Oreochromis niloticus: one gene and its partner. The protein of the gene in region 1 binds, or shares a complex with, the protein of each later gene. Links are inferred from orthologs where the notes say so. Each region holds a gene or a part of one and is shown on either strand. Other genes may lie near its edges. The genes, in order: polr3g and polr3k.

Evidence for each region.
Region 2: polr3g (region 1) and polr3k share a complex: the UniProt entries of both Homo sapiens proteins name them as parts of the RNA polymerase III complex. The link is inferred for Oreochromis niloticus from reciprocal best matches to the Homo sapiens genes POLR3G and POLR3K.

The regions. Positions count from the first base shown.
Region 1 is NC_031977.2:14,415,264-14,431,623, reverse strand, and holds polr3g (DNA-directed RNA polymerase III subunit RPC7), read right to left. Parts: upstream 7,914-16,360; 5' UTR 7,613-7,913; intron 7,435-7,612; 5' UTR 7,414-7,434; coding exon 7,303-7,413; intron 6,565-7,302; coding exon 6,435-6,564; intron 4,914-6,434; coding exon 4,848-4,913; intron 4,768-4,847; coding exon 4,708-4,767; intron 4,631-4,707; coding exon 4,569-4,630; intron 4,489-4,568; coding exon 4,372-4,488; intron 4,279-4,371; coding exon 4,189-4,278; 3' UTR 3,796-4,188; downstream 1-3,795. Other genes in the region: lysmd3 (lysM and putative peptidoglycan-binding domain-containing protein 3), read left to right, coding at 1,593-1,859, 2,382-3,080; acyl-coenzyme A thioesterase MBLAC2, read left to right, coding at 8,156-8,597, 9,833-10,047, 10,331-10,504; rhotekin, read right to left, coding at 13,238-13,950, 14,955-15,059, 15,194-15,359, 16,301-16,360. UniProt on the Homo sapiens protein: DNA-dependent RNA polymerase catalyzes the transcription of DNA into RNA using the four ribonucleoside triphosphates as substrates.
Region 2 is NC_031969.2:24,513,216-24,530,085, reverse strand, and holds polr3k (DNA-directed RNA polymerase III subunit RPC10), read left to right. Parts: upstream 1-8,245; 5' UTR 8,246-8,395; coding exon 8,396-8,506; intron 8,507-8,591; coding exon 8,592-8,679; intron 8,680-10,903; coding exon 10,904-11,031; 3' UTR 11,032-12,087; downstream 12,088-16,870. Other genes in the region: cell death-inducing p53-target protein 1, read right to left, coding at 7-108, 180-314, 444-582; snrnp25 (U11/U12 small nuclear ribonucleoprotein 25 kDa protein), read right to left, coding at 4,595-4,652, 4,750-4,824, 4,913-5,018, 5,143-5,233, 7,804-8,037; cdip1 (cell death-inducing p53-target protein 1), read right to left, coding at 14,569-14,680, 16,144-16,423. UniProt on the Homo sapiens protein: Core component of RNA polymerase III (Pol III) which synthesizes small non-coding RNAs using the four ribonucleoside triphosphates as substrates. Can mediate Pol I proofreading of the nascent RNA transcript.

The DNA of each region.
Region 1 (16,360 bases):
TTTCTGCAATCACTGCGCATATTTCCCATTTTTAAGTAATTTTTTTTTCTTTATGCATAGTCTCTTAAGACTTTTTTCTTCGCAGTACTGTATATTCAAGGGTCAGCAGTGGTAACCAACAGGTACGTAATTCAGAATATAAATAATACAGTTTACTCTGTATTTAAGTAGAGTAAACTTTATTACCTATATCCTGTTCATAGTGACAGAGGTTACGACTAAACGGAATCTGGCTGGCTTAAGGTTAATCTAGCTGTTTACAGACACGGTTAGCAGGGTTTAGCCCCCATAAAGCCTCAGTGTTCACAGCCAACACGCGTGCAGTGTTGTACATTTATAAACAAAGCCGTTAGTTTAACCTCACAGCTACCGCGAATATCAATACACGGGTGTAAACTGAGAAAATGAAACAAAACTCTATCATTTCTATTCAAAATTAAGTTACTTTACACGCAGTTTTACTTGACGTTGGGCGCCACCTCGCGGCGAAAAAATAAAGGTTGCGCTGCGGTCGCGTGTGGTAGCGTCATTACGTAAATATTGTGTTGACGTGGCGTGAGCGGTAGCAGTTCAATAGCGGTTAGCAGGTACGTAACAAACAGACTACAGGGAGAGACCAAGGAGAATCCAGTGGAAGTATGGACCGTAGAAAGAACAATTGAGGGATCGGGATTCACTTTATCAGGTAAATGTAGTTGTAAACGATTTCCTAAAGACATTTTAATCAACTGCTTATCAACGGGACACTACAAAGCTTATTAGCGGTGGCGACATAATAGATGTGGACTCCAGTTAGCAGTAGCCTAGCCTGTGGAGATGGGTTTCTATTCGGTTGTACATGTCGCTTCTTGTTGGAGAGGATCTGGAAAGTCTGTTTAAGACAGTAGTTTAGTGGCTTAAACGAAAGTGTTTCTTAACTTACGCGGTTATTTCTGAAATATAACCGTCCCACACTGCACTGTTGTTTTACGAGAAAAACAAGAGTGTAGCAGCATTATGCTGTTCGTAGACAACAACGTAGCTAAATGGTTGCTAACCTTAAATTTTAGCCACCATATCGCTTTACGAGCTTGGTTAGTTAATCACATGCCTGCGTACTTGAATAAGAAGATGATTACTGGTGTGCCCGTTGTTTAAACCATTCAGCACTAGATGCTGCTTACATAACACTCGTTGTCTGGCCTTACATTGGTCCAAAAATAGACGGCTTTTTGTTGAAACTAATAACATAGTATTGCCTTGCGGTTATTTCAGAGTTGTGATATGGTGGACCTTTATCTGATCTGACTGAACCTTTTTTGAGAGCTGACTAGCCTGATCTTATAGCATGATCATAGTGGTATATGTTGAGACTAAAACATTCAGTGTAATCAGTCTTATCTGTCAGATCATAGCAGGATTAATGTGTTTTCTATTTTCATATACTGCCAAAATGTTAATGCCTATTCTGTTAAACTACAGTAGCACATGTTAAGCAAGTTGGATAGCCCATAGATTTTAAGATGCACACTCTAATAAGTTTTTTTCTTGATTCAGTATATCAGCCTGTGCTCTGAGCCATTGTTTCCTTCTGCCTAAAACAGTGAAGAAAAATGTCCAGCAGAAGCCAGCACTATGGATTCCAGTCAGCCACCATGGTGCAGCCTGCCAATGGCGGTCATGCCTATCTGTTCGGAAACAACAGCTCAGAAAATGATATGTCAGAAGAGGATGGTGAAAGCTATGAGCTGCGGCCTCGTGGCAGAGAGAGACTCAGGAGGAGCACCTCTAAAGAGAGAATGGATGACATTATCTATTTGACCAGAGATATCCAGGAGGGAGACACTCTGAACAGCATTGCCCTTCAGTACCATTGCTCAGTATGTGTTTGCTTAGATTTGTGTGTTTGTTTTACCTCTCCTTTGCAGCATTGACTGAAATCCTCATTTGTATGTTTTTGTATACCTGCACTTTTCTCTTTACGTAGGAAACATACAGAAACATGCTTTGTTGCTTTATATGTTTAGGAAAGCAGGTGAGTTGTAGTTAAACTGTTGTTGCTAAATTTATTTTATGATGATAGTGGTTATTAATTTCTGAAATTGAAACTGCTTGCTAAACAAAGAATTGGAAGCAACCTTCAGATTGAATATTTGTAGTTTTCACTACAATGTTTCAAAATGATTTCTTACTATATGTAAAGCAGCACTTTTTTAGAAAAGATATGTGAGATTGACAAACATCTGTGGAAAGTTTATTATAATTAGTGTTTTTTATATATGCATGTAAAGAGTTCAGGTACAATTCAGTGGTTGGCTCTAAAGGTTCAACAGATGGCAAATTGTAAGTGGCTTATTAATTACTTCTTATAATTTTTTATTTTTTTCCCCTGTGAATCCCAGGTGGCGGACATCAAGCGTGCCAACAACCTTTTGACAGAGCAGGACTTTTTTGCCCTGCGTTTAGTTAAGATTCCTGTGAGGCGCTTTAGTGTCCTCACTGAGACTCATAACGCTGCTACTCTCAAATCTGCCTCGCCCACAGGCACTAGACACCCGCCACAGGTCTCGCACATTACTTCTCTCCCTTCTGAATCCTCCATGGACTCCTGTTCTTCCACTGACAGCGTGGAAGGTTTCCTGATGGAGAAGGACAAGGACATTGAGCGGCTGGTGAAATCCACAGGACCATCTCGGAGCGGCCTCAGTGAGGTTGTGTCCTCTTTAACGCAGCAACAGCAGCAGCCATTACTAGGAGAAGCTGGATATAAACCAGTACAGAGGAAGGATCCTTATTATGGGGCAGACTGGGGCATGGGATGGTGGACTGCTGTGGCAATCATGCTTTTTGTCGGCATTGTCACACCCATCTTTTATCTGTTGTATTATGAAGTTCTTGTGAAAGCTGACGTCAGCCATCATGGTATGCCTACACAAACTCACAACGGCTTGTCTTATGGGTATCAACAAGACAACGGTTTGCTCAGGAGTAAAGACATTCATGGAGATGCTCAAGCTAAGCATGCAGTTAATGAAGCTCAGCAGGGAGGGGTTGCGGACAAAGCAGGAGACGGTGGAGATGGAGAAAATGAGAAAACATAGCAAGGAATTTCCACCTAAAATGTGTCGCTAACTCTGAGAACTAATAGAATTATGCTGATGTTCCCATTTACAGATAACGTTTAAAACATCACTTAAATCTATCTGGCTTAATTATACAGGAGACAATAACTTTGAAGGATTGAGAGACTAAGGTGTGACCACAATCATAACTTGTGTCTCTCCATTTGCATACAGTTGACAGACTGAATGTGGGTCCAACTCTTCGCAAGATTTATGTCTGGTTTGATAGACCAACGCTGTGCTGCTTCAACCTTTTTAAAAGTGACTGCATTTCATAGTTGGTCTGAGTGTCTCCTGTAAACTCGAGATGGTGTCTTTGCAGTCAACTGTGCTGGAGAATTTTTAGCCGGTTACACACAAATGCTGCCCAGGGAGTTACAGACAGCAGCACTGCAGAATAAACTATTCGATTAAAATGGTTCAGTGGGCTCGCTTATAACTGTGGATTTGTTTAAAAGACGTTTGAGCTGTAACTTTAGCCATGTTAGTTATATGGTACTTGTTGGAAAAGTTAGGATTGCTGCCACTGTGTGTAATTAAAATTAATTTATTTGAAGACTGAACATCAGTTTTTATGTACACTACCAGTATTGATCATCAGTTGGAGTTAAAATGAAATTTTCTTGAATCTCCATCCTGCTTGAAAGAACTGTAGGGGTTTGGTTTTTTTGTAATTAAGAAACAAAAGTATAAATAAGAGCATGGTGAGGAAAATGCACAATATTCCCACAATAACTCATTTGTAATTATGTACAATTTTTAGACTTGTTATGTAGCCCTTTTATTTTCTCACTGTGTTCAGTTGATATTCTATGACAGAGCATTGTGTTCTTAACAGTATGTGCCTTTCAACCTGTGAAACTTGTCTACAGGATGAAGAATAAATAAATCTATTTTGAATAAATTATTGCCGTGTGCACATATTTCAGCATTTCTTATTTACATTAGTCTTTAACGAAAGCTTGATCAGAAAAAGAAAAAGGGCATCGCTCCACACTGAATAGCATTCCCAACTTATGTGCAATATTTAACCAAAAGAAGCAGTCACATTATGTTTAACTTCAGCACGTCCTTGCTTGAGAGACGCTCAGTATGTTGCTTCGCCATCCATATTATCGTCACTGTCCGCAGCGAAATCTTCACCGTTGTCGAAGTAGCTTTCTATGTAGTCGTTCTCCTACACAGAACGAAGAGAAAGCAATGTTAGATCTAGTTTGTACATATTGATCGTTATGTGTAACACATTTTGCAGTACATCTTGGAATCACACCTCTTCAATATCCTCCTCTTCATATTCTTCCTCTTCAATTTCCTCTTCATCCTCATTTCGCGGCTTCTTTTCAGTCTCCTCATCTGATTTTTCAGGGTCATCTTTGTTTGCCAGTTCCTGGCATTAATATCAAATTACTCATGTGAAACACCAAAGGTGTGGAGAGAGAACTGACAGTAAATTTAAATGAAGCTTACATCTAATTTGGTCAGAATGTTCTCTGTGTCCTTGCGTGATATCTTCGCACTTTTTTTTGTGCCTGTTGGAGTTAAACATTGGGTCTTTATTCTTATAGTAACAAGAAATGTGATTTCATACATATTGTATTTAATGTACCCGTTTTAGCCTGAGGTCGTTTTCTTCTGGGCATCAGTTCTTTTGGAAAAAGGTTCCAGTCTAAAATATCAAGAAAAATGTTATCATCATCCTCTTTTTTGTGTTCCACCTAATCCCATAATGATGTGTTACGCACGTACCTGGAGTCCATTCATTGTCGTCAATCTGGCTTTGCTTCAGGTATCTCTCGGTGTATCTCTCCACTTCTGTTTTCAAGTAAACAAAAGAAAGGTCATACTCTTAAAAACATTTAGACTAGTATGCGTCAACACAAACTGCAGTGTTACTCTAGAAGTTTACATACAGTCAGTAGCATGAATGTCATGGTCATTTGGGGCTTTAATGATTTCTTTGAAATGATATTTTTATAGAGTGGAAGGACTGTACAGCATGCATCTTTAATGCCTTTAAAAAAAACAAAAAAATACAAGAATTTGTTACAGAAGCTTGGATTAATTTTGGCAGGTCTTGAAGGATGAAAGGACTGATAACACTAAATGCCGCCCACCCAGACGGACCGGACTTTTAAGCATAGTCCACAAATTTTCAATAAGATTGAGGCTGTGGTTTTGCAAAAGCCAGAATTTTAATGTTAGTCTGCTTTATCCAATCCAAAACCAATTTTGATGTGTATTTGGGAACACTGTCCTGTTTGAACACCCAATTGTGTCCAAAGTTTCAACCATCTAGCTGCAAATTTCAGTTGAAATTGAAGCTGTTGATTTTGGAGCAGGGTATTCTTTTGTGGTCGGCAAAAGAATTAAAACTCGCTTCAGCGGCTGGTCTTTGAGTAGTTTCGATTTCACGGTAGACTTGAGACCCGGTTGTTCTTCGGTTGTTCGTGAACATCCTAACCAATTTTCTCTCATCCGAGGGTAACAGTTCGGATCTTCTTCCAGAAAATTGAAAACTTGGAATGTGATATTGTTTAAAATAGCTCAAATAGACTTTCCCAAATTATGTAAATTATCAATTCTCCTTCTTGGATCTTCACAGAGTTCCTTCAACTCTCCCATTGTGCGTCAATCCAATGAGCCCTGTCAAACAAATCCTTCTTTTTTTCCTGTCAAAGACAGACTAGTTGTAATCAATGATGATCACTGATGAGAAGTTAATAGGCCTTGGCCTCATCAAGCTAAAAGACATTTAGTATTTGTTCTGCTCTACAGCCCATGAACCAGCTCTCTTTTTACTGCAGGTTTTGGATGGAGTACAATGTCTAACAGCTATCTAAGACAGCGGAGGTGGTGCTCAACCATGGGATGAGAGTCTTGCTGAAGAGGCTGTAGATATGAAGCAGCAGCTGCTTCTCTGTTTATCGGTCATGATGTGTGTATATTTGCTTCTGCACAGAAGAACTGGGTGCACTTCCTTTTCATAGGTAATTTCCCTATAGTCATGTTCACCACAGACCCCCTGCTGAATAAGCAATCCCCCCTTCCCCCTATAAAATACACTGACTTCTTTACATGGTTACATTTAGCTAACTGTGGAACAGGAGAGTTTTGAAAGGCCAGTAATCCAGACAAAAGAAATCTGTGGTTTCGCAAGATGAGACATCTGTAACTCAATATTCTGTCATTAATCTGCCTCTCTCCGTTTCCCAGATATGACCTTAACTGAAAGTCTTTGTTCCTAAAAGCTGCATTATCTTCCCCCACAGCAGACAACTGTCTTACAGCGTCATTTCAGCTGATGTCAGGTTTCTAATGCACCGCCTTCCTCACCTGCTTTATTGGACTGAGGTTTGATGTTGTATGGCAGCCGTTGCATTGTTCCCCTCATCTCTTGTTTTAAGGCCAGCATATAGTCCTCATCCTCGCCAGCTTTCAGTGGAACTGGTTTAAAATCCGTGCTCTGGAGAAGTATGGATGATGTAATGCCGATATTAATAATGTTCAAGTGCAAATAAATTTCAAATCTAACTGAAATTCAGACTGCCATGTAAAGGTGTTCAACATTTTAAGTATGAATAGTCAAAATATACTACATTGTAAGCATAGTCCAAACTGTGTTTAAAAGAAAAAAAAAATCCCCATAAAGCATCCTGGCAGAATCCAAGAGGCACGTAAATATCTGCCATATTCTTTGGGAATACACACGACCAAATTAGAAAACCTGGCCATGAATTTAACATAAGCGCATACATTATTGCCCTTTACCCCCTTTGTGCTTATTTGTGAACCCTGTGAGAGACACTCATTGGGTCATAACTCTTAAACACATGTTGGCCATGAGCACGATAAATATACTTTCATCTCCCTTCATTTAAATACAAATGCAGTAAAATGTTTCGTAAATTTTATTACAAAGAATAAACCTTAACCTATTATAAGTAAACCTCCACTGTATATAGTCTGCTATTCAAATTCCATGCAAATTTCACCTACCTCTCTCAAAAAGGTCTCTCCCAAAGTCGCTCCAGTAAAGTTTGACCATTAGAGGTGAATTTGTTATACTGAAATGCAATCTGTCATCCTGCTGGTGTGTGTGTGTGTGTGTGTGTGTGTGTGTGTGTGTGTGTGTGTGTGTGTGTGTGTGTGTGTGTGTGTGTGTGTGTGTGTGTGTGTGTAAACGACTGTGTTCGGTACTTACTGGAAACAGAGGACTGGGCCCCACCCTGGCTTCTGGCATGTTGCCCCTGCCGATGCCCAGAGCGTCAATATTGAAGGTAAAAGCACCAACTCCACGACCCTTGCCTGCCATGGCTGCAGGTCTCCTCTGTTCCTGCACACACACACACACACACACACACACACACACGTCCACATATCTCCAGTCAACACGTGTTGATGAAAGTTAACGTTCTACAGCTTCCATCGCCTTTAGCGTGACTCTGCCAGCGATGAAGCTTTAGTCAGCATCAGAGACGCACTCTACGTGTAAAGTATGTCGAAATACTTACTAGAAGCCTGTTAGTATACTGCGCCTAATGTAAAAAAGCACAAAGTCTACTTCAGAGCTGGACAGCGATATTTAGCTCTTACTGGATCCACATGTTTCAGTTTTTTAATGTACCTCTCTGGCCGGTTTTATCTGTCCCTCGACAACTCCTTAAAAATCACATACATTTCAGCTGAACCTAATGAAGATACTGCTTAGACTTTATACTGCTTAGCTAGCACCGGCTTTGGAAACCTGCACACGCCATACGCCACTGTCAGCATGCGTAAATGTGGCTTTAACTCGCTCCTCCTCTGCGTGACGACAGAGGAGGCGTGGTTTGCGTATAGCCAATTGCAACCCACGTTAAGCTGCCGTCGTTTATCGGTTTGCCCAGTGAGCTTAGTGTCCTCCTACAAGGGTGTGTCTGCGGCCACCATCGCATTAACCTCAATGAAAACATATCATCTGTAGCTAGAAGGCTAGTTACACCTCTCCCCCCCAATAAATCACCTGACAGCAAGACACCATACTGAACCCTACTTCGACAAGCGAATGAACTGGGATGTCTGCAGTCGACTGGTACGCTCACAAATCGCTCGGAGACGGAATCTTCTGGATCCAGGAGCGATTCTACCAGTCGGAGAACCGAGCCAACATCTGGTTGCTGCGCGGCACACACCAGGACGTGGTGATAGACACGGGTCTGGGCTTAAGGAGCTTACCTGAATACATCGACGCCAAAGGCCTGCTGGGAAAAGACCCGCAGAGGAAAAACCCGCTGCTTGCCATCGCCACCCACGCCCACTTCGACCACTCCGGTGGTCTGCATCAGTTCCAACAGGTGGGCGTCCACAGCGCGGAGGTCGATGCCCTGGCCAACGGAGACAACTTCGAGACGGTCACTTGGCTCAGCGACAGGGAGATAGCCGAGGCTCCCAGCCCGGGATGGAGGGCAAGGCACTACAAAGTCAAGGCTGTGCAGCCCACACACATACTGCAGGAGGGTAGGTAGGAAATACAGCCCTTGCAGATTTGATTTAGGCTAGAGGGATGGATCTGTGCTCAAATACCAGCAAGGTCTAAAAGCATTCACTTAGTGACAAGCACCATAATCGATACAGTAATGGGCTTGATGGATGCACCAGGCCTAGTGTGAGCACAGTATGCTCTACAGAGTCGTTTCCAGCCTCAGATTCTGCACCGCGATTTGGCAGAAGACCAACAATGACTTGCTAGCTCACACATCGACACATATTATATATGTAATGGAGGTAGTGGGGATGAGACAAGGGGTCGGTCTGCCAGTAATTTTTACAGTTACAAAGTAGGCTAGAGGAACCAGTTCAATGCAGCAACATGAGGCCAGGACTGGTGATTACACAGGTGCAATTATCCCATTACACAAAACAGGATATTCTATCCAAGGAATGCAGGTACAGACAATTTCCCCCTATTAGAAGTGTATGGGTTAAAAAAACAACAACAAAAACTCCATTGGTAGCAACTATATGCTCATTCTCTATATCTGCAGAGCTGTTCTATTTTAAGCCAGTGTGATGGCTTTGATGTATTCTCTTGCTTCCAAGAAAGAGCATACAGAGACTGGTGTCACACTTAATGAAAGCATCCCACAGCGCGAAGTAACAACCACACAGTCTTCTCTTTTCTCAAACAATTTTTTATAGTGGGTCAAAGATCAGCAGGTGGCGAGCTGAATCAATCTACTTGATAAATCTGAAAGTGGATACGTTGTTTGAAAGCACTGGTCACTGGAGTCTTTATATAAAGCACACATTCATCAGAATAGCACACATAATAATACACAAAGCTTATATCATAAATAATGTATTTGCTGAGCCGCCGTATCTGTTGGGGTTTAATGCAAAATGCAGTGTTGTAGAGTAACTCGTTCTGCTGTGTCAGAGCCACTACTGCAGTGCAGCTGGTATATCTCATTCCCTGATGTATCAACTTCACCCTTTTTGCCAGTGCAACTCATAACTGGCGTCGACCAAATCGATGATATACTGAATGTCACAGAATCTGTGTGACTCAGTGACATGTGGAAAGCACAAACATAACTCTGACGTGAGTCAGCCAGAATATGAGTTATCACTTATATATAAGTCTAAGATTTTAAATACATAGTGGCCGGTGATTACGGTTCATGCCACGTTTGTATGTGTGAATAATTATCAAAACCTAATGCCTTCACTCTCTCTCTCTTTCTCCTGCCTAGGTGATGTCATCAATCTTGGTGACAGACAGCTGACTGTGCTTCACATGCCCGGACACTCTCGGGGAAGCATTTGCCTTCATGACCGGGACAATAAGTTGCTTTTCAGTGGCGATGTTGTGTATGACGGCGCAATGATTGACTGGCTGCCCTACAGCCGCGTCAGTGACTACATCAGCAGCTGTGAGCGCCTGGTTGGGCTGGTGGACAGCGAACAGGTAACTCTAAAGCCCACTAGAGAGCAGCCTCACAATTTCAGTACACAGTTCCACTTTTTTTTTCCAGGGGTATTTATCCCAAAGCACCTTATATCAACATTTCATAGATTTATAATGAAAATATCATGTTGCTCTGCTGAAATTTGGCATACCAGTATCTATTAGCCTACATATACAAGCTGTGTTTTCTGTGCTAATACTTAAAACAATATACTTTAACATGTGCTAAACATTATTTGTTAAATAAAATACATGTTTATTGGCTTTAAAATGGATTTAACAGGTCGACCAAGTCCTCCCGGGGCACTACAATGCATTCGGTGCGAAGCGGCTCCATCGGCTTGCCTCCACGTACATCAGCAGAGCTGAAACATGCCCTGCAAAGTTCTCCACGTTTGCCTGGAGGAGTCTGGCTGGGGTGGCGCTGCGGGTGTGCAACCCACAGTGTGCCTGCTAATGAGAGTGGGTCATTGAGCTGCAGGAAGCAAGTGCACAAAGAGAGATGTTTTAGTATGGAGGACATGGAAGAGTGTGAGGACAGAAAGGGTGGGGGCGGGGTTACCTCTGTTTTATCTGCAACTTAATGTAACGCTGTCCATTTACTTATGTAATCCAGCTGAAAATCAAGTAATTGCCAAACTTTGTGTGAAATGCCCCTACTGGGTTACAGAAGTCAATAATCAGCACCATATGAAGCCTATTATAAAAAATATTTACTGGTCTTATATGCTGATGAATATGTATATGTTGGTGTTAATATAATTCAGTGTTTGATTTTTATACTTTAAGCATATGTGAAGTTACAATAGCACAACAATAGCATAACTCTGCACTACAAACAGAACAGGGCGCTTTGGGTTTTCCTCTGAGACATTTGAAACAAAGTCATTATGGCCATAGTGTTCTCTATGCATATTACAATGCTCAGTGAAGACTCAGTGTCGACTACCTCCTATGTTTGTAATTGTGCTTTGTACTATTGACTAATCTACAGCTTTGCTATCGAAACATAGACAATAAAAAGTCTCTGTTCTACCTGCTTTTTGAGTCTTTTGCAGCACAGATTGCAGCAGCTTATAAGTGGATTTGCTTCTCCAGGGGGGAACTCAAATGGGATTTGTTGCAAGAGAGAGAAAAAGGGGCAGAACAGAGGTGGATGGAATATGATCCAACACCTGTTCAAAGGATAGAGAACTTAAAGTCATTTTCTAATCTGATGGAAACCTCTCTCAATGCATGGAAAGGGTTTAATTTGGGGGGCTTTTAGTTTGAAAAGTTAAGAAAAGTAGGATGATTTAACCTTCTAACAGAAATATCAGATTTTATTTTTAAGTTCAATGCATTACTAAAGAATTTCACCATAAAAATGTACACATAAAAATATGTATAGAACATGTTAATTTGGATACATAAGAAAAGAAGACGATTTTTAATTGATAAAACATTTATTTAATGTTATATTATTTCAACACGAGATTTCCACATTTCTCGTTTTCAGTTCACCTCCGAGGATGGCATACATGCAGAACACGAAGCCTGCCAACACGGGAAACTCCGCCAAGGTTATAACATTCAATGTTATCTGTGACAGTTAAAAGATCTGCACGTTATCTAATATTATGATCATCAAATATCAACACAGCTGCATTTATAACAAATTCAGTAATGTAACAAAAAAAACCCAAAAACAAATACAGGAGGTTTATTTGTTAACTTATAAAAATTAATTTACAGTAACAAATGCTGTCGTTCAGCGTACAACAGATCTTAGTAAAAATGGTTCGAGTTCTGAGTCCCCAAGAGGGCAACGGCTTCCAGAGTCCACAATAAACACGGAAACGGGGAAAAAAAGAGGCAAAGCTTTACTGCACTGACAACACCAACCCTATAAGGTTTTAACTCAGTTTTCCTGTAAGAAGAAGTAACTGCTCTGAGCTGTCTAACTAGCAAAAATGTAACAACAAATGGGCGGCAGTGTTAACGAATCATTAAAAAGGTGACTGTCTAGAGTTCATGTAAGCACACGTTTCTTTAGAATGTTTTTTAGAATTTCGCCAAGATTAAATCAGTTTTCTTTCTTTGTCGCGTGATAATAAATCGCTGGACGGCAGGATTGGAAACTGAAAACAAATAAAGCTGCAGATTAGTATGGCTTGGGTTTTCAATAATAATTGAGCTTTGGTTATAATCAGTTTGCTTAGGAGTTGCACTGTGTGCATACAAATCTATTACTTAGTCTGATGGCAGCCCGTCAATAGTGTGCAGATAAGAGCAGAGCACAGATTTTTTTTACCCTGAAGAGATCACAGTCATAACCAGTACAGTAAGTATGAGCACTTGCAGGGTCATTTGAAATGATCTGACAAAGAAATATTTTAACTGCCAGTCAAAACATGCATGAAAACAAAAATGGTGCATAGTCGTTCTGGGAGACCCCACAAATAGCATGAATAATAAGTAGACTGAAACAAGTATCACAGTACAGGCGACAAATAACCCTTCCCTCTACACATAGCAGTCTCTAATATTGGAAAAATCTTGACTGGTTTTACCTGTTTGTCTTGCGTGTTCATATTACCTCATGCTAACTGGCTTCTATACTGCAAACACTGCAAACTTTTCGAACATAACAGGAAACATCCAGTCAAAATACGACTAGTGCATTAACAGACATGGCCATGTTTGAGTGGCCAGGATCACTTGTGCAGACAAAAAACTGTGTTTTTTTTGTTTTGTTTTTTAGTTTGTTATTATTTTTTCCAGTTTCAAAATCAGATTTTCAAAGACAGAAAGTAGACCTAGTGTGGCATGAATTTGAGCATGTCCTTATCTGTTAGCATCACCTTCTTCCAAGCAGCATTACCATCAATTCTCAAAGCAAGCAGAGTACCTCCCAATTACTTATGGACTGTTTTGAAACACTGTGGCAACCGAGCAAATGTCAGAGACTCCTGCAGTGATTGTCACCTGTCTTTTGTGTTAGAAGACATTCCAGTTTGCCCAAGAAGGGTCTTCCATGGCTCGTCCTCCACCAAGAGGCAGGCTGGAGGCATCCTTCTCAGGGTGTGCATGTGGCATCGCAGATTGCCTGAGTTTGGTTCACGTGTGTTAAGCTAGTTAAACCGTGGTTTAATAAGCACTGTTGCCTTTAGGCAAGCAAAAAAAATAAAGAAACTGTCAGAAATGAAGTTTACACCTGACTCTGGAGCCAGTTACGAGGATCAAGTCTGGCCCTGAGGTTTCTTAGGCTGCGTCGAGCTGGGGAGGGCCTAGAGAAGGGGCCTCCCTCTGATGACTCTGGGCTGTGGCTGCCCTCACTGTTGCTGGAGCTGTTGCTTGAGGTGGAGCTGGAGCAGGATAGCGTGGTTTGTGTGCTGTGCTGTGACCGGGGGGAGCAACTGGAGATGGGGAGAGGAGCAAGCAGGGACGAGGGAGGCGGCTGGCAGGAACACTGGAAGGTCCCTCCACCTCCGTACCCTCTCCCTCGAAGGGTGCTGAGCTTAGCATCCAGAGAAAGAGTGCGTGGCCTCAGACGTGAGGGGGAAGACGACAAAAGAGAGTAGCTGGAAGTAGGTTCAGGCCAGCCGTGGTGGTGAGAGCAGGGACTGGTGCTACAGTGGCTGTCGCTATCTGAGGTCAGACTTGCGTCTGAAGACAGCAGGCCGAGCTGAGGGCAGCGGTGAGGACTCACAGGACTCCGAGGCAGTCGATGAGGGGTGCAGGGGCTGTGGCCAGACATGCGAGTACAGTGACGAGAGCGACCAGTACATCTGGCAGTGCTCTCCTCAAAAGCAGACATCCAGGTGGGAGAGGTGCCTAGCTGGCTACGGAGCTCCAGCTCCTGCATTCTCCGAGCCAGGATGTCTGACACGGTGCTGCTGAGGTCATCAGATGACTCAATAACTGCAAGAGAAAAGCAGCGAATCTTATTAGTATGCCGCCATGGAGTAAACCTGAGACCAGTTTTACAGACTGATCAGTTTTTCCTGGGATTAAATCTAAATTGCAGGGTTTTTTTTTTTTAGAACAAGTGCTAAAGATAGCAATTACTGTAGGATATTTTTAACATTTTGAGTGTATTCATGACATCTTTCCAATTCATGCAGATTACAGTACTGCATAATTCTATTCAGAATGCAGAGTCCAGCCTCTTGGGATTGCAACATTTACCACAAACCAATTCATGTTAAGTCCTAGTCCTGTTACTTCACCTGTCGTTGTAATAGGATGAGAGCAGAGCACGAATCTCAGCAGACACAGCGTTATCCTGCAGCAGAAGACCCTCACAGGAGGGTGTGGCAAGAGGAGCTGCCAGGGTTAGGAAAATCAACAGGGAAGTTGGTGAGAGAGTTGGGATAGAGCAGAGAGGGGGATGAGGGAAAAGTTGGTAGTTTGGCATTTTTAATGGACATGACAAAAAAAGGAAAAGGATGCATGCTCATTCAAACAGGAGTGATGGGAAAACAAAGAAAGATTTCATTCATGCATCAAGATAATTCAACCATTACAATGAACGGTGAAAGTTTATGAAAAGTGTGATGAAATGAATGTTACATTATTTCATATGGAAATAAGGAAAATGCAGAACAGGAAATGGCGAGGATGGATAGATATGACAAAGGAATGTGAAAAGGAAAAAGAGGAATAGAGAAACAGAAGACAAGTTAGTCAGCACGTCAGAGATAAGAACCCTTCTATTTAGAGCACAGAGAAGTGAAGCAGAGAGTGAGTTTGAGAAATTGGATAGGAAAATGTAATTGACAGCATCTTTGATGCACGTGCACTCAAGAAACAGAAATTCAACACAGCCACATGCAATGCAGGCACGGTGTTTTGATTCCCTGCTTTATTTTTCACATTAGGTCATAAGTGACCAAAAAACACCTTGATACAAGGAGAACTCTTACCCATTTCATGATACAAAGAGCCTTGTTTTGGTGTGATAGGAGCTGGTTTTCGTGGCGACGGAAGTTCAATTTTCATTAAGTCGTCACAGCATTGTTTCCACTGGCCTGTACATTGGAGACAAACGTCACCATCAACAAATCAAGCAGCAAATGGAGAATATACAGCACTATATGATGTCCTTTAAAACATATGTTAAACGTCCACATGTTGTGGGTTTAAATGACACATGAGGACCTACTCATATCATAGAAATGTTGCCAAAAGGCTTCCATCCAGCGGTGTGTCTCCTCGCGGCCGTCTGTGGTCACAGTGTGCGTAACCTCCTCCCCTCCGTAATGGTTACTGATGCAGATATTCTGAACTTTACTGAGAGGGTCTTTCTCTGATGCACGTATTCTGGTCTCCTGAAACACAGGAGTGACAAAGAATACAATCATCTACCATAAAAATGCCTACAGCAGAGAATGAATGGCAGTACAGTGTGGTTGAATGAATAAGTCTCTGCTGAAAATAAGCCCTCATTAATAAAGTCACCAGTTAGTGCTCTTCCAAACCATTTCCCTCCAGCAATTATCCAACAAAAGGATGCTGACTCCCAATTCCCATAACTTGCTGTACTCTAAATATGTCTAGGTATGGCTATGACCACTAGATGGCAGTGTTGCCCTGTTCATGCCTTTGCCATGCCGCGCTCCCTCTTTCTGTCTCTTCATGTGAGCCGCACAAAAGACCGTACAGACCTGATCTGATTGACTTGGCTTTAGGTTATCAGCATGCTCAAGGTCAGAGGACACAAAAGACGGAGTGCGTCACTACAGAAAGATTGTGAAGTCTAGGAATCGACTCTTAAAGACACAGGAAATGAGATGATTGAGAGCATGACTGGCCAGCTGACTGATCTTTATTTGATGCAGGGAAAAATGATGGCATGAGAGAATTATGACTTCCAATTGGATAGAGGGGTCTCCCTGCGTGTAGAAAGCTTTGAGCAGAAGAAATGTGCCTTTACAGGCCTGATGAACTTTTCTACAGTCACACCTCAAAAGGTAACAAACACAACCGCAGTTTGGTACTCATGAACTCAATGGAGCTCGATTCTGACAGCTCTGGGCGGCTTTTTAAAATAAAGCTTGAGAACCGCTGCAAAGAAAAGAGCTAAATTTTCTCTTTAGGCTCAGAGTCGACCAGTGAGCTTGTTATTTAAACGTGTGGTAATCCACAAGCCTGTTTTCTTACCATCTATTCTGATGCCTTAGGTGTTACCAAAAATATGCAGCTACTGCTTCTCTAAGGCTGGATCGAGCTCAAAGAGATAATATCCTGCCTTTCAGATTTCTTTGCTGACCTTGTTGATGCCAATAGTGAAAGCTGGCTCAACGTTAGCCTCCACATCTTCTTGCCGGTA
Region 2 (16,870 bases), on another chromosome or scaffold:
GCTCACCTGGGATAGTAGGCGGAGCCACAACATAGACGATATTAGAGCCAGGAGGAGGAGAAGGCGGAGCAGCAGAATCTATATTCTCTTTGTCTGTGAAACTGACCACTAACAAAGAAGAACAAATGTGGTTAGTTGTGTAAAGTGTGCTAGATTTGCTGTAGCAAACTGGGCCTCACCTTTCTTGTGCTGTTTGTTTTTGGTGGCATTGAGCATGTTGTCGTAATTTTTCTGGAGTTCGGACTGTTTTTCATTCAGTTCCTTCAGTTTCTCATCGATGCTCTCAATCTCCTTCTGAGTAGAGACTGCTTCCTCTGATTATAAAAACAAAACAGTAACCATACAGAGGTTATACATACAGCACAACTTGCTTTTATTCCTCGTGGAAAATCTAAAAGACTGCAAACAGCCATCACTGTCACAGGAGTTGCTTGAGTGGTCACCTGTTTGTCCAAACTCGGCTCGATTCCTCAGCTCTTGAAATATGCACAGAATGTTTTTCCTCTCCTTAAGTTGTTCCCTTTTGAGTGAGACATGTTTCATCTCAGCAGCTATCTCCTTTAGTTCGCTGTCTAAATCCATGGCAACTACTGGAAGGACAGAAGCAGAAGAGAAAGCATGACCTTATTTAATTGCAGATATTATTTTTGCACCGGTTAAGCATATAAAATGTTACTGTGAATCAAAGATTTACAAATGTGTTTCTTTTCTATGCCCCACATTCTAAATGAGATGATTGCATAAGAGAGTGCATGCATTATTAATTAAGTTCTAAGAGGCAGAAAATAGTAGAAATCCAACTCCCTGTTTATTCCTACTGCTTTCTTTTTCACATAAAGTTGTTAAAATGACAATGATTGTGTAATTTTATTTTATGAAAGTCAGATTCCATGATTATCCTAATCATTTTTCATATTGTATTTGTTGTAGTTGTTTTTACGTTTGGTTCTTGTTGTTTTTTGAGTTCTTTTCATTTTCTGTTCTGTTCAGTGTTGGTTTGTATTTGGTTTGGTTTAACAAATATGGAATAATTGCTCTCAATTATGCCAAAAACATGTTACCTACAGCATATTTAAGATGACTCAGAGACTTGGAAGGCTCTTCTAGCATCTGCTGTCATTAGGTAAACCTGATCAACTGCTAAACGCAAATATCTAACCAGCCAATCGTGCGAACGCAACTCAATATGTTTAGGCATTTGTGCAAGACAAACTGCTGAAGTTCAACCTGAGAGTCAGACGGGAAAGAAAGGTGATTTAGGCGTTTTTGAACGTGACGTGCTTGTTGGTGCCAGATGGGCTAGTCTGAGTATTTTAGAATCTTTTGATCTGTTGGGATTTTTCCCAAACAAACATCCTTAGCGTTTTCAGAGAATGGTCCAAAAAAAAGGAAAATATCTTACTTATGTCATCAATAGAAATGCCCTGATGATGGCAGAGATCAGAGTAGAAAAGCCAGATTACTTTGAACTTATTCGAAGGCAACAATAACTCAAATAGCCACTCGAAAGATATCAACATATCAAACCTTTAAACAGATACCAGGTGCCACTCCCATCAGCTAGGAACAGGAAGCATGGTGTGGAGGATATTCTCTTGATGCTCTTTGTGCCCCGTAGTTTAAATGACACAGTACACTTGAATATTGTTGCTGACCCTTTATGACCACAGTGTGGTCTGATAGTTGCTTCCAGCAGGGTAACAAACCATGTCACAAAACTCAAATCACCTAATATCTCGAACATGACAAAGTTTCCTGCATTAAAATGACCTCCACAGCCACCTGTACTTAATCAGCACCTTTGGGATGCTGAGGATCGGGAGGTTCACATCATAACAAATCTGAAGCAATTTTGTGATGCTATCATGTCAACATAGACCAAAATTTCGGGGGAATGTTTCCAGCACCTTGTTGAATCTATACCATGAAGAAGGCAGTTCTGAAGCCAAAAGGGGTCCAAAAAGTGATTGCCGGTATTTAAGCTGTTGTAAATTTGGCCTATAATCTATCACACATATCTCTCATGAATGATATTTAGTCATTTTGAAGCAGAAAGAACATTTCCATCACATGGTAAAGACTGCAATCAGTTTTTGGCAAAGTGACATTTAACAGTTCTATAAAGATATTTTAACTGGCAAAAAAGACTGGACTGATTATAATGTGACTGATTATAATGAACACAGTGTAGGTACAACAATGCAGGGTCACCAGAATACTTGCAAAACAAATCAATTTTATATAAATCCCCTCCACGAATTTACCAATATAACTATGGATATTAGACAAAATGCACATAATCAGCAATCACTTTTTGGCACAATTCCCAGGACCAAACGTTATTATAGTTAACTGACATGTAACTAAAAACTAAAACTAGATTTAAAAAATCTTACTTAACTAAAATGAAAATCAAAACTAGACTTTTGGAATAAAGAATGTTGTGAACTTGGAAAACTCCATACAATAAAATAAAATCCTTAGTTTTAGCGTTTGTTAGTTTAGTTTAAAAAAATAAATAAAAACTGTGGACTATAATGTGCTGGTGATAAAGGTCATATTCTTTTAATTCATTCCAACCATATTTATTTACATATATGATTTGCTTATCTTTTCCCCCTTCAAACATTTAGCACGAGATCAGTAACAAACATGCAAGTTTCAGGCTTAAAAAAAACAGCTGCACCGTGTTTTGGCTTTAACAGAACGCTGTGGAATTTACTTCCTCTTACTGAAAAGTTTTTAAAACTATATATGTATTGGACTAAATATTGTTAGTTTTTTTCTAATTCTGCAAATACCCTTTGTAACTATTTTGCAAATAAGCTATAGAAATAAAGTTTATTACTATTGATATGAAATAAAAAAGATGCAGTACATGAGTTCATCCAGCATGTAGTCAAATATGCTGCTTTCTCTGAATCAGATAAATTGGTCACAACCATCTGCAGCTAATTAAAAGAAACATGGCTTCTCAGGTCTGATTGGATGCTTAGAAAACAAGCAAAAGATCTATAAAACAGAAAGAGACACGGACGCTGATGATTGCGTGTAATCGTCTGATCAATCTTATATGAAACAAGTTCAAATAAGTATCCAACTGCACTGATGCTCCGCTGTAACATTAATCTAACATCTCAATTTATAACCCCATAAAAATCTATTTCACCATTATTTAATAGAAGATATCTGCATTACCTTCTTCTGTTCCTGCCGTATCGTGTATATCCTGTAACACTGGTACTGGTTCAACAACAGCATACTGTTCTCAGGGAATATTCAAATCATCAGGTTATGGTTATAACTGCCCTATTTTGGACCTTATATAAAGCTCCTGCTAAGCTGCAAGCCTAGGAAAACAGCTATGTTATTGCACAGGTATGCAAAAGTCTCTAGACCCCATCTTTTTATCTTTTGCTGAGAAAATGGGGATTTACACACGTGCACAAACACAGTTTGCAATGTAAAAACTATTCTGTACAATTTTAACAAGCTTGAAAGCCAATAGTTGGTATGCGCACCTTTATTCTTCAACACATTCTGAACTCTCTTATGCAAGCTTTCTAGTAATTTCTTTAAGCAGTTTTCAAGAATAGTTCTCCAGGGTTTTTAAAGGACATTTAAAGCTCTGTCAAGATGATCACACACTGCTTCAGTAATGTTGAGGTGTGGGCTCTAGGGAGGCCAATCCATAGCTCACAATGTTCCAGTGTGTTTTTATTTTTAATGCACCGGTAGGAAAAGCACACCATGCTGAAAAATGAAGCCATTGCCAATCAGTTGCTTTCCTCTTGGTACTGAATGGTGGCTCAAAGTTTGGTGGTATTTTTCTGCATTCTTTATTCCATCCGTTTTGATAGGATTCCCAACAACACTCGATTAAATGGAGCCCCAAAACATAACCGTGCTTTATAGACTCACTCTTCTACCTCTCTCCTGACCTCCTCTGTACACACTTAAGATGGTTTGAACCAAAACTTTCAAATATGCATTCATCACTCTATAAAAGCACTGTTTCCACTGACTTTAAATACAATTATTGTGCAATTTTGCATACCTCAGCCTTTTCTCCTGGTCCCCCTTCCTCAAGAATGACTCCTTGACAGCCACCCTGCTTCAGCAACCAGTATATGGATCGACTGAAGGGCCAAATGTATCTCTCAGGTCCTGAGTCAGGTCTTTGCTGGATTTTTATTTGTATTTTTTTCAGATTATGTTTACCTGCTCCTGCTACTTCTTCTTTTGGCCTCTACTAATGTTTTGTAAGGACATGCTGCACACCACAGTGAGATATGCAAAGGTTTTAGCTAGTAGCTCTTTGGAAATCACCTTTATGCACAAAATACTATTTATGCCTGTGACACTGGTTATCTGGCCATTCTGCAGACTCAAAATAAGAAAGTGGAACAAATCATGTGTTTTGTGACAGGTTGCCAGTAACAAAGTGTGTATATATTTATATACACACAGACACACAGGTACACAAAAAAATTCACATTGGGAATAAAAGTGACAACTTATAAATATTTTATTTACATGAAGCCTCTTTGAGAGGCTAAAAGATTCTACAACAACAGCAGATGGTGTTTTTTTTTCACTTTTTCCTGAGTCTCTTCATGAACGTCACTTCATCTCTGTTCCTGATCCCATAGCTGAAGATATACACAAATTAAAAAAGAGAGGGAGGGGGTGAATGGATAATAAGTGTTATCAACACCATGAAATAAAGTGCTAACTTGATACACTTACTCTTTAAGCCTCATCTTGTCATCTTCGAGCTTCTCGCCCTGAAATACTAAATGATACGTCCTCCAAACATATCGCCTGGAAACACAGAACACAGGGAAAGAGTAAAAATATGACTTTTTTTAAACATGCCCCATTTCATTCTTGTGTTTGTGAGTGTGTTTACCAGCTGATGTGTTTCACGCCGCCTTCGCGTTGCTGTTTTAGCTCCATAAATCTGCAAATAGCCTTCTTCAGATCAAGGACCGTAGCATTTTGCACCACCACAATCGCTATGAGGAAAAAAAGCAGTTTGTATGTTTTTGTCTTTTGGGATTTTTTTAACCAGAAGAGTATAAGAGGCTTTGCGAATTTAAAAAGCATGTAAACAGAAAAGAAGACAGCTTCAGCACTTACGCATCACTTCACTGTCTGCTTTCAAGACTCTTACAGTCATCGCCTGGCCGTACTCCAAAGCAATCTGAGAGTTGACCTCCTCCAGAGTCACCTGAAGATAAATATTTTTTCATTTTTCTGTCAGCACATAAATTCGCTTAGTCTCAAAAACATGAAGGGAGTTCCTGGATATTCATCGTTTAGTTTTAGTTTTGCTTATATTTAATGTTTTGATCTATTTGATTCATTTTTGAGTCAAACTTTTTAGGAATAAATGCCGAACTGTTTTCTTTTTAGCCGCTTCCTAGTTCTTTGAGCCTATATAATATGAAAATTAATTTTTGAGGTTTTTCATTTAGACAAAACAAAAAAGCAATTTATGCAGCACCAGTTTAGCTGGTGCTGGTAACAGGTCCAACAGGTAATCTTATGCTGCAAGGTTGAATGCAGAGGCAGAGGTCAGACTCCAACACTGCCCTTAGCTGCACGTCTTCCTGCGCTCACTGGCTCTCTGCTTTCCTGTCTCCTCGTACCTGCATAACATAATGAAAATGAGAAGCCCCCAAATAATGTAAAAAAAAATTAATAAATTAAAAATTAAACCAATTTATGGTGGTCTTGGGCTTTATGACATCAGTTGGAGACATTTCCCAGTGGCCTAAGTCCTTTTGCTCTGCTGCGAGGAGTCTGCTCTACCAAGGATATTATTGCAACCAGGAGAGCAGTTGTTCAATGAAAGTGTACAGAGGGAAACGAAAGGTGGAAAGGAGTGGAAAAGAGAGAAATTAAGTACCTGCGAGAGTCCAGCTGAGTAAAAAACACCAGCCGAAGCACAAGTTTCTTTTCACACTGTTGAAGCTTTTGTTCGACGTCAGTGAAAATGTGGATGTGTTCAGTCTCACCCTGTATGTCATCTCATCTTGTATTTTTAGACTGTAGGCAAATTAGTTTCTGTGTCTGGCCTTACATAACTGAATTAGATTTTCATGTCCTTAAGATTTCATTCAATCTATCGCCCTTAGGATTTCATTCAAATAAAATAACTTTATGTTATTTTATTTGAGGTATTTTTTTTTATGTTTTGGCGCGTGTAACACAGGAATTTCCCAACTTTTGGGAAAAATAAAGTCCCCTTGCAGGAATCTGCTCTTTGTTTCAAAGTGCAAGAGAGGAGGCATTGTTAGGCTTTTTATTGCACAAGCAGCTTGAAGAGCCTGCTGCAGGTCCTGAGAACAACTGGAAATGCTGCGATGTTCCACTTCAGCCTGTGTTTTTTAATCTTTTTTACATTTATTTTTATTGCATTCTGTTCTGTATCATCATTATTATTATTATTATTATTATTATCCACTGATCAGACCCCTATAAAAAACTCTTAACTGCACTACCTGCATAAAAGGTGTCTCATTAATTTGTGTAAACACAATGTCAGCCTATAAATAAGAGAAAATAAGAGATAACAGTTGCATGAGCAGAGTGACCTGGAATAATTCCCTGCCTAAATTGCTGTTTCAATCCACCCCCGAGTGACATTTTAGAGACTAAACAGCATGCAAATAATTTACAGATAACTTGAGTCAAATCCATCTCCACAGTTTGGACTGATTAAATTATACATACAGTGTTGAACATCAGGTTGTTACGGCATTTTTGCTAGTTAAGCATGCGTGTTTAAGATTGAAACACCAATCAGACAAAACCAGACACTAGCGTCTTTATACACTCACTGGAAAATTTGGAAGACAAGCCTTTTCAACTTCTACAGATATTTAAACAGCCACGGTAGCAACTCAGTGCATTTAGGCATGGTCACGATGTCACGCTGAAGATCAAACCAAGAATCAAAACGATGAAGAAAAGTTACTTTTAAAGTGGCATATCATGTAGGCTGGTCTGAGTATTTCAGAAAGTGCTGATCTACTTGGATTTTACCACACAACTATCTCCAGGGTTTACAGAGAAAAAGAGAAAATATCCAGCGAGCGTCAGTCCAGAGGTCATAGGAGAATAGCCAGAATGCTTCAGTAACTCCAATAACCGCTTGTTATAAACAAGGTATCAGAAGAGCATCTTTGAACGTGCAACACATCAAACACTGAAGCAGGCATCCTACAACAGCAGAAGACCACACTGGGGGCGACACTCCTGTCACCTAAAACCAGGAAGGCTAAAATTCACATACTCACTAAAACTGAATAATAGTAGATTAGGAAAATGTTGCCTGGTCTGATGTGTCTTGATTTCTGCTGCTGCTGGGTTAACTTTGTGAGGATATTTTCTTTGCACACTTTGGAATCTTTAGTACCAGCCGAAAGTCAATTAAAACTAACAGCCTACCCCACTACTATTGCTGACTGCTATGTCCAACTCTTTATGACCACATGTAGCCATCATCTGAAGGTTGCTTCCAGCAAGATAACAGCATGTCACAAAGCTCAAAACATCTCAAGCTGGTTCCTTTAACACGACAATGAATTCACAGACACCAGATTTCAATCCAACATAGCACCTTTATGATGTGATGGATCAGGATACTAAGAGTGACCGGGAGTGTATACAAATATACCAAAGGCATTGTAAGAAGTCATTATATGAGGTGATCTCTCGTCTGACCATAAATGCAACTCTCTTGTCTGTATGTATGCAATGCACATGTGCATGTTCATGTAGTGGACGGAGCACCTGAATCGGCAGGTCACAGAGCAAAGGATCCTGCACGAGTCGAGCAAGTCCTTCCTCGAAAATATCCAAGATTTCTGAATGAGGAAGAGCGTCCTCATCTTCCTCCTCTCCGCCTTGAGCTGCCGTATCTGTCACATCTTCCTCTTTTACCTCTTCTTCATCCTTCACCGATTGTCCTCCTCCTTCTGCAGCTCCAGCAGCAGCAGCGGTACACGCTCTCTGCTCCTCCTCCATCACCGCCAGCTGCTAAATTTACTCAGTAGGCAAGCAGCTTAACAGGCAGTTTATCGACTTAATTTATAACTTAGGGGAAAATATACTTTTTAATGGAAACTAATTTAACTGGAAGCCTGTGGAAGTAAGTGCGTCCGTCACAAATAATAACCGGGCGAGGAAATGGGGCTCAGAAAACATGGTTCCGCTTAATGATCCCTTGTTTCTCACCGAACTCTCAATGTGGGTGCATCTCATTTTCTCTCCTTCTCTTCCGGTGCTCCACACGCAGCAGTGTTTACAGCTGAGTCCACAGAGTGCTAGTGTTGTTTAATAGTTCAAAAACTAACAGGGTTTTGTTTTTTAAGTGCGTGATAACATGCTTCTGTTCTGTCCAACCTGCGGGAACGTGTTAATCGTCGAGGAAGGGCAGAAGTGCATGAGATTCGCGTGTAACACCTGTCCCTACGTACATAACATCACACGAAAGGTAAGTAACGACGAAATACTCACATCTTACATTAAGGTTAGCGTGGCTTCTGAGAGCCTCACGTTATCTGTTTAAACCCCTGTAGGTAAATAACAGGAAGTATCCGAAGTTAAAGGAGGTGGATGATGTTCTGGGTGGAGCTGCTGCGTGGGAAAACGTGGACTCAACACCTGGTGAGTGCCATTAAAATAGTTCATGGTGTGGTCTATCCATCTGTTTATAATCGCAAAATTAACTGGCTGAAGAAATATTGGATTTTTTTTTTTAATTAGTTTGAGAGTGAAGTTGTGTCTATCGTCCTGCACTCCTGCTCAAAACATTAATGTCTGCAGTGCCTTTGAGTGGTTTGTAATACAGTTTTTGACAACTGGATATAGGCTTGTTAGCTCAATGTGATTGCTGACAACAAGTATTGTGGGGTCAAAACTCTAAACACACACTTTCATGTCAAAATTAAACTCTTTAAAAGAAGAACTTTTTAAAACAAAGTCATCCAGCCAGCCATCTTCTTCCACTTATCCGTGATTTGTGTGAGCAAGCGTGTGTTTGGATCAACTCACTTTATCAGATTGAAACAAAAACTTTCCACCTGACCATGGACAGATTTTCCTTTAAAACACTGAGGGGAAAGATGCACTTCTGGACTGTTGTTAGCATCCAAGTATTCCCATGGATGACAGTAGGGATGTATTTTGTTGTGCCATTTAAAAATGTAATTATTTAGAAAACTACTTGAGCTGGGTCCTTCAGTTTTTCGTTATTTTAGGGTAAATATCTATTAACACTGTCAATATGGATTGTCAAATGTGTAGCTCAAGTTAACAGTCATGTGAAAAACAGAGTTTTCATGTGCAATACTGTGAAAAACAAAATACATTCTTAATTAAGAGGGTGAGTCCCTGCCAGCTGCTGCTACCTTAACGTTTGGGCACAATGTTGTCACTGTGTTAAACACAAACTCCTCTGTATATAAATATTCTAGAGTTAAATGTGAGGCTGTCTATCTGACAGATGGTTAAAATTGCATCATTCAACAGCACAATGACCCCAAGCACACCACCAAATTACAACAGAATGGCTGAAAAACAAATTGGGGTATTGCAATATCCCCGCCCAATAAAAACCTAACTCTACAGATAGATTAAAGCTCTTTAAATGAAAGACAGCTGTAGCTTTTGAACTATCCAGCTTGGAGACCTATTACAGAGAATAGGATGTCTTGGTCCGCCCTTGATGACATCAATGTGAAAGTCTTCTCCATCAATTCTCTGGAACTAGATATTTTTTCTAATTTCTGATAACCAGGTGGAGTTTGTCAATGGTATGATGACTGAGTCACATTTTAGGGAGCCAGCATATGCTAGAGACCTCTACTGAATAAAAATGCATTTTATACAAACTTTTAATTACAGTGTTTGTCTTTTCTGAGGATGGTAATTTATATGGCATTTTTGTGTTGGCTTGTTTGTTTTAATCATTAGTGAGGTGGCTTTTATACTTCTTGACCGCTGCTGTCTTTGTTAATTTAGGAAGGTTTAGTCTATTATAATGGATACCAGGGATGGAAGAGCTGAAATGAATGTGGGGTTGTTAAAAGTGTGAGAAAAGGTGTGTCTTTGCATCATTACATTGCCGGACTGCACCCCCTTCAGGGTAGGACAGGTAAACAACAACCTCTCTTGCAGGTTCTCCTGAGCTGCTGGTGAAGCTTTCTGGCCAATTAATGTTTAATAAATTGGTGACTGGATTTGGGGGAGGGGGGGTGTATGAATTTTGCAGCTGGTCCACAGCTGTATGCTGGCTCCCTGTATAGGCCCTCAGTCATGAAAAGCTTAGCCTCGTAAAGTTGTGTCAGCACCACTGGTATTTATGATTCAGGATATTATTCTACATCAATCACATTTTTGTGTTGTAAATACCTTTTTCCCTTGAAGCATGAATTGCAACACGGGGAAGAAATTGGAAGAATAAAAGTCCATTAAGAGTCAAATTCCTTCAATTGGTTACTAAAGAGCATTATTTCTAAATAAAGAACAGATTTCATATTTATTTAACACAAATTACGTACTACAGGCTAATAAGAGACCTTGATAATATGTAATTTTCTATGTAAGAAAAACTGAAGCTATTGTATTTGCACTCTGGATGATGTGACTTTGTCCTCCAGGTGCTAGTTTGAGAAACCTGGCAGGATAGGTGCTTGAACTTTCTTATAAGTGCATCTCGAGAACTGCGTCTTTTGATCTGTACAGTGTTGTCAAAATTAGGAACATCCTGTGTCAGTGATGCTACTCTGTGCATTTTTCTTTATACTGTGTTGCCAGATGGAATTAAATTAAATGAGCCAATTCCAACAGTATTAGTGATTCCACACTGACATGATGCACTTGTTTACAGAAACGTGCCCGAAGTGCGAGCATCCTCGAGCATACTTCATGCAGATTCAGACCAGATCAGCAGACGAACCGATGACCACGTTCTACAAATGCTGCAACGCTCAGTGTGGACACCGATGGAGAGATTGACACCTTTTCACTTATAGTCAGGGTTTTCAATTTCATTCACAAGCACAGCTGAGAAACATTTATTTTTTTGCTTTACATTTAATATTTAAATAAAATATCCACTTTCACAATGTCAAAATTGAGTTTCCTTCATGACTTTTATTGATAAAATAGTAGCTGTATACATAAGTCAAACAAATCTTTGACTTACATAGTTATACATTTCACAGACATTTAGAGCAATGCAGACCAGCAAAATCCACAACAATGGTGTACGTTACACCGTATTAATATTTCAATGCAATCCTTCATTTCATATTGATTTTCTTGCAGAGCTCCGTTAGCCGCAAGGAAAACAAAAACAAATGCACATAGAGTCAGGAACTTGCCAGTGAGAATGACTTCGATGTGTGGCTCGTGCAGAAAAACTCTGCGCTCGGTGCATGAGACATCCGGCATGCTGATGGTGGAACAGTATCTGTTGGTGTTAAATTTGGTGGGATCACAATGTTGGAGTTAATCTGTTATTTAAAGCTTTTTCCTAGCAAAGAGCTCACTATTTAGTATCTGTAATCGTTTTTTAACATGCCTCTGAGCAATGCAAGTCATCAGGAAGGGCTAACGCTAAGTCAGGGACTCAACATTGTGTGAAGATGGTCCCACCGCTGTACGTTAAATTATACATGTTAGCACATCTCATCAGTGAGAGCAACTTGGAATGAGTTTTCAAAATAAATTAACGTTATAACAAAACACATAACAGAGCAAATATAACATACCGTGCCACTAGTAACAATTTTCTGTTTGTTTTGAAATAACTTATTTTGAAAATCACCTTAAACGACCCAGACTCAGCATTTGGCCAGCGACAGGACAAATCACTACCGAGATGTTGTGGAGTGTTCGTCCATCAGTAACAGTCGAGCCCTAAGTCTGTCAGCTCTACTTTCAATCTACTAAATTCTGAAAAGGTGCAACCATGGTGGGATTCACTCAGCTAACAGCAAACCAAAGTAAAAACCAAATGATGCATAGGTGGTCACGCTTTTTTCCCCCCTAGACAAATGAGGCATCTGAGGGGCAAAGGTGAACTTTAACTTAAAGTACAAATAATGACTCAATCATCAAAATAAAACACCTTTACAGACAGAGGGCACTCATGCGCATTAGCTCAACAGTAAGTCACAGGACATTTTGTGACTACAGCCCAAATTAATAACAAAATATAGCAGGTTAACGTAAATCTTGGGACTTTCCCAACAAGTAGATTTAGTAGCTAAATATTATAAATGGTTCATTTTGCTCACATTCAAAAGGGATCAGTGATTAAAAGGAAACACTAGACCTGCTGGAACAAAATAATCAGACAAAGGAAAATAAAAGTTCCGTTCTAAATATTAACCCTTGTGTGGTGTTCGTATTTTTGTTACTCAGCCAGTGTTCATGGGTCTGGTGGACCCGCTAGAGTTTTGGCTTTCCAAATTAACACTATCAAACAATTTTATGTTAAATTACTCAACAATGTTTACTTCATCCCAATTACAAGCTATATGAACAGCAAACATGGTTAATGTTTGCTGTACGCACCCACTTATCCCACACTGTCCTGATGGCAGCTAGCTTGTCTCTCTGCCACCGAGCTGGTCTGTCATCTCAGTTATCAAAACGGATAATCCTGGAAATTTTGTGGAAGTTTTCCAGAGACATTGATGCACTGAAAAGTTCTCTGCCGGTTTCTGCATCCCACAGGGATTCTGTGGATTCCCCTTTGGACCTGAAAACTCCAGCAAGGATAAGAACCCCAAAGTAGGCCTGTAGATCATTTTGGTCCATCTCCTTCCACCTCTGTTAGATTTGTATTGTTGATTGTCATTTATGCTTAGAAATATCTACTCATATATGCTTAGAGTTTTATAATTAGTTGTAGATTGGTAGAGGTTTGATCCTTAGTAGCCTGTGGAGCCTCCCAGAGCACTCTGGCATGCACACACAACTTAAGGTCAGGAGAGAGGTTATATCTGCTCTTCCTGATATATGGTATAGCAAACACACGTATATCTGTTTTACTTTAAGTGCCTTTTGTTTAGGGAAGTCTTTATGGGGTCACACTGTGCCTGTGCTAGACAGACCCAACATCTCTCTCCAAAAACACACCATCCTTCTAGATTACTGCAATCCAGAATAATTTTCTGGATGGAATCTGGGATGAAAAGCTCAAATGAAGACTTGATGTCCTGCACATGAGTAACTGCCAGCCGTGTTGGCCCTGGTTGCATCCTTATCGCATTAGCAGCTCTGCAGGGTGGCTCATTTCTTGGGCAAGAAGATCATTCAATTTCACCATTTTTTTACATCCATATTTCTTCACTTGCTGTCTGGTGGGCTTGTTCTGGTCCTGGAGCTGGCTGCTGATGGGGTACTCATCTTTGTTTTGTTACTAAATGGTGCTCAATCTCATCCTCTTCTTCAAAGTCACTGTCAGACTCTGAATTTTCAAAAATGTGATCCTCATATTCTGAAACCTCTTCCTCGACATCATCATCAGAAGCTCCTCTCTCTTCCAAAATCAATAAGGCCCTTGCAGCAGATAATATTTTGGCCATCTTGATCAGTTGTGATAAGGAACCACACTGGCAAAGTCTTATTTATAGTATGATGCCCCTAATTTGCAGGTGGGACAGGGTATGAGAAAATAAAATTTGGATCCCTCAAGAAAGAGGGTAAAATGTGCGGGAATGTAAGAGCAGACGGTGTTGATAGTTGAATTTTCAATAATGTGGCAACTTTGTGCGGGAGCGGGAGGAGAAGAAAACAGTAGCAGCAGCACCAGAAAGGAGGAAAACAGAGTGTGAGAACACAGGACCTACACTTTCAATACTTTTATTAGACCTGGGTCCAATGGACCCGAACACCTTGTATGTAATGTAAATGCGTGGGGGGAGCTACAGTATGCAGTCATTGAAAATTTGTTTGGATTTATGTTCTTCACAGAAAATGAGCCAAAGCCAATGAATTTCAGGTTGAATAAATTATTAATTGTTTAATTTTTCTTTTGAAAAAAACTGAAAACGGGTCTCACAGACCCGAACACCATACAAGGGTTAAAATAATGAATTAAATATCTGAAATCAAAGATAAAAATTAACCCATGTCTGAATACACTTGCTATAGAGCAAAATTCACAGATGAATTCAAATAAAGTGACATTTTCACAGCGTTCTCTAACAGAGGCAGTTTTGTGTTTTGTTTTTTTCCCTTTTTTTCCCGCATGCGAAACATCACAAATTTACCTGTGCCTCTGTGGGGCGCCTTCACCTACTGCGCTTAAGTCAGAGAACTGTACATTTCAAATGCATGAGAGAAGTATGCTGAACCGTATATACAGGAAATATGCTGTGAACTAATGAGAAAACTTCACTTACAATTTAAGAGGGCTACACAACACTTTGCAAAAATGTAGAGGGGTGCGGAGGGGAGAAGCCTGTCACTACCAGCAGGGGGCACTGTGGGTTTATGTGTGTGCATGTACTTGTCTCTGTGGCATCCAGCTGTCCGTGGTTAGCATATACGCTTGTATGTATAAATGTAGCCCTTACAGTAAGGGCAGGTGTGTGTCACATCCTTGAGGTCGTCAATCATACAGGGAATCAAGCAGCAGCCGAGATCACAGCTGTGAACGAGGAGCAGACGGACGGAAGATGAAGCAAAAATCAAACACCTGCTCATGATTGTACACGTTACGTACATTAAGCTCTCACAAAACAATCACTGGGTCAAGAACATGGCAACACAGAAGCATGAAATATACACCATCTGCTTATCTGCCCCGATCTGAACATATGCAAAAGTTGAAGGTCACAGATCCCACAGTATACTGTCGTGCAAAATTTAAGACAGACACGATTAACAAGTTGCTAAATCAACAACATATTATTGAAACACCGTCTGTCTGAATGTTCAGGTAATATTTTATCTTCCAAAGTCCTTAACAGGTGAGCTGGGAAGTAATGGACGCTGTGGGGTATTTTATTTTATTTATATAGTGCCAAATTACAACAACAGTTGTCTCAAGGTGTTTTATATTGGAAGGTAAAGACCCTACAATAATCAGACGACACCCTTCACTTTGGTGAACGTGGGAAGTAAAAAAAGCTCCCTTTTAAAAGAAACCTCTGACAGAACCCCCAACCAGTCGCGGCAGGTAGCTGCCCCTCCTTGAGTCTGGGTATGCCAGAAGTTTTTTCCTGTTAAAAGGAAGTTTTTCCTTCCCACTGCTGACAAGTGTTAGCTCATGGGGGGGTTGTCTGATTGTTGTTTTTTTCTCTCTATTGTTGTGGGGTCTTTACCTTAGAATAAAAGTGCTATGAGTATTTGCTGCTATATGAATAAAAGTGAATTCTTTCACATTCCCTTATATGCTCAACTATGGACAAACCTGGCCGTGTCTGAGAGCAAGAGCAAATGTGAGACTCCAGTGACAATTTAGTATCCAATAAGGGAGCTACTTCAACAAACTTCCAGCAAATGCAAAGTATTCTGAAAAATATGCAATAAAGTTAATCTAGCTAAAGCTGGAAACGACAACTTCTTTTTTCACTATTTGAGTCAAAAAAAAAAAAAAAAAAAAAACCTCACACCAATGAGTATAACCAGGCCACAAAGAATGAGACACTAGCAGCTGGTGATGTGTGACCTTTGTATGAAATATTTTTCAGCATTATTATGTGACAATATTCTGCAGTCCCCTGATGAGTTACATGGTCAAGTTACTTTAAGTTTGTTGAAGTGTCAAGCAATTATTTTATACGTTTACTCAACTTTCTAAAACACTACCTAGGGTACTTAATGCATCTAGTGTCAATAAAGTCAAACTTTGAATTAGAAAGTGTCTCATCAATTAAATTAGCCCAATGGAAATGCTTCTGCCTGCAAGCAGCAATATAACAACAATCAGCGTTCTGCAATAATGACAGTTTTATCATGTCAGAAATATGATTATTGCAGATTTTCTTGACATAATTTATCATCCAGCTCTAGTTCTGTGTTTTTAAAACTACTGTCACTTTTAGGCATTACTCATGTGCAAAAACAGCAAAAACCCACCACCAGATGTCTTTTCTTTGACCTACTTACCCTACAAAGAAGCAGAAGAGGCAGAAGAGTGTGTTCATGAGGCCGATGTCGTGGGAGATGCGGGTGACGATAGCCTGCTGACAGTGCGGACACACAGTCTGCACTGGTGAAGTCTGAAACATTTCACCCTGCAGAACGGTCACAGTGGTGGCTGCTCCTGGAGGAGCCAGGACGGTCGCTGTGTGACCTCCCATGTGGACAAAGTGACCAGGACCCGGGCCCATCTGTCCTGGCATCGGTTGAGGAAAGTGACCAGGTGGCGGTGGTGGGTAGTGGCCACCTGCATTTAGACAAACCAATGAGAGTGGGTGAGCACAAGAACATCAGTCATGATATTTAAGAAAATGATCCATAGCCTCAACAGTGATGTGAGCCAAAAGGAAAAATAGATCTACAAGCCAGTGGACAATAAAATACTCTTTTTAGCTCTTTTACATTTCCACATTATTAATTCAATTTTCTGGCTTCTACCAAGCTAAACTGAAGCCAAATAAACTATTTTCAAGTAATGAAATTTAGCAAGCTGAAGTGTTTTTTTCCGAGCAGTCCATAAATACAGAAACTACATCAGAATCAGAATACTTTATTCATCCCTGAGGAAATTATGTGGTCAGAGTTGCTCCAAGACAGTAAGAACAGTAACTGATCATACAAAAAATATAACAAATAGCTCTACTATAGACACATAGCCCAATTAAAAATATATCCCAGTATATAACACAAATTA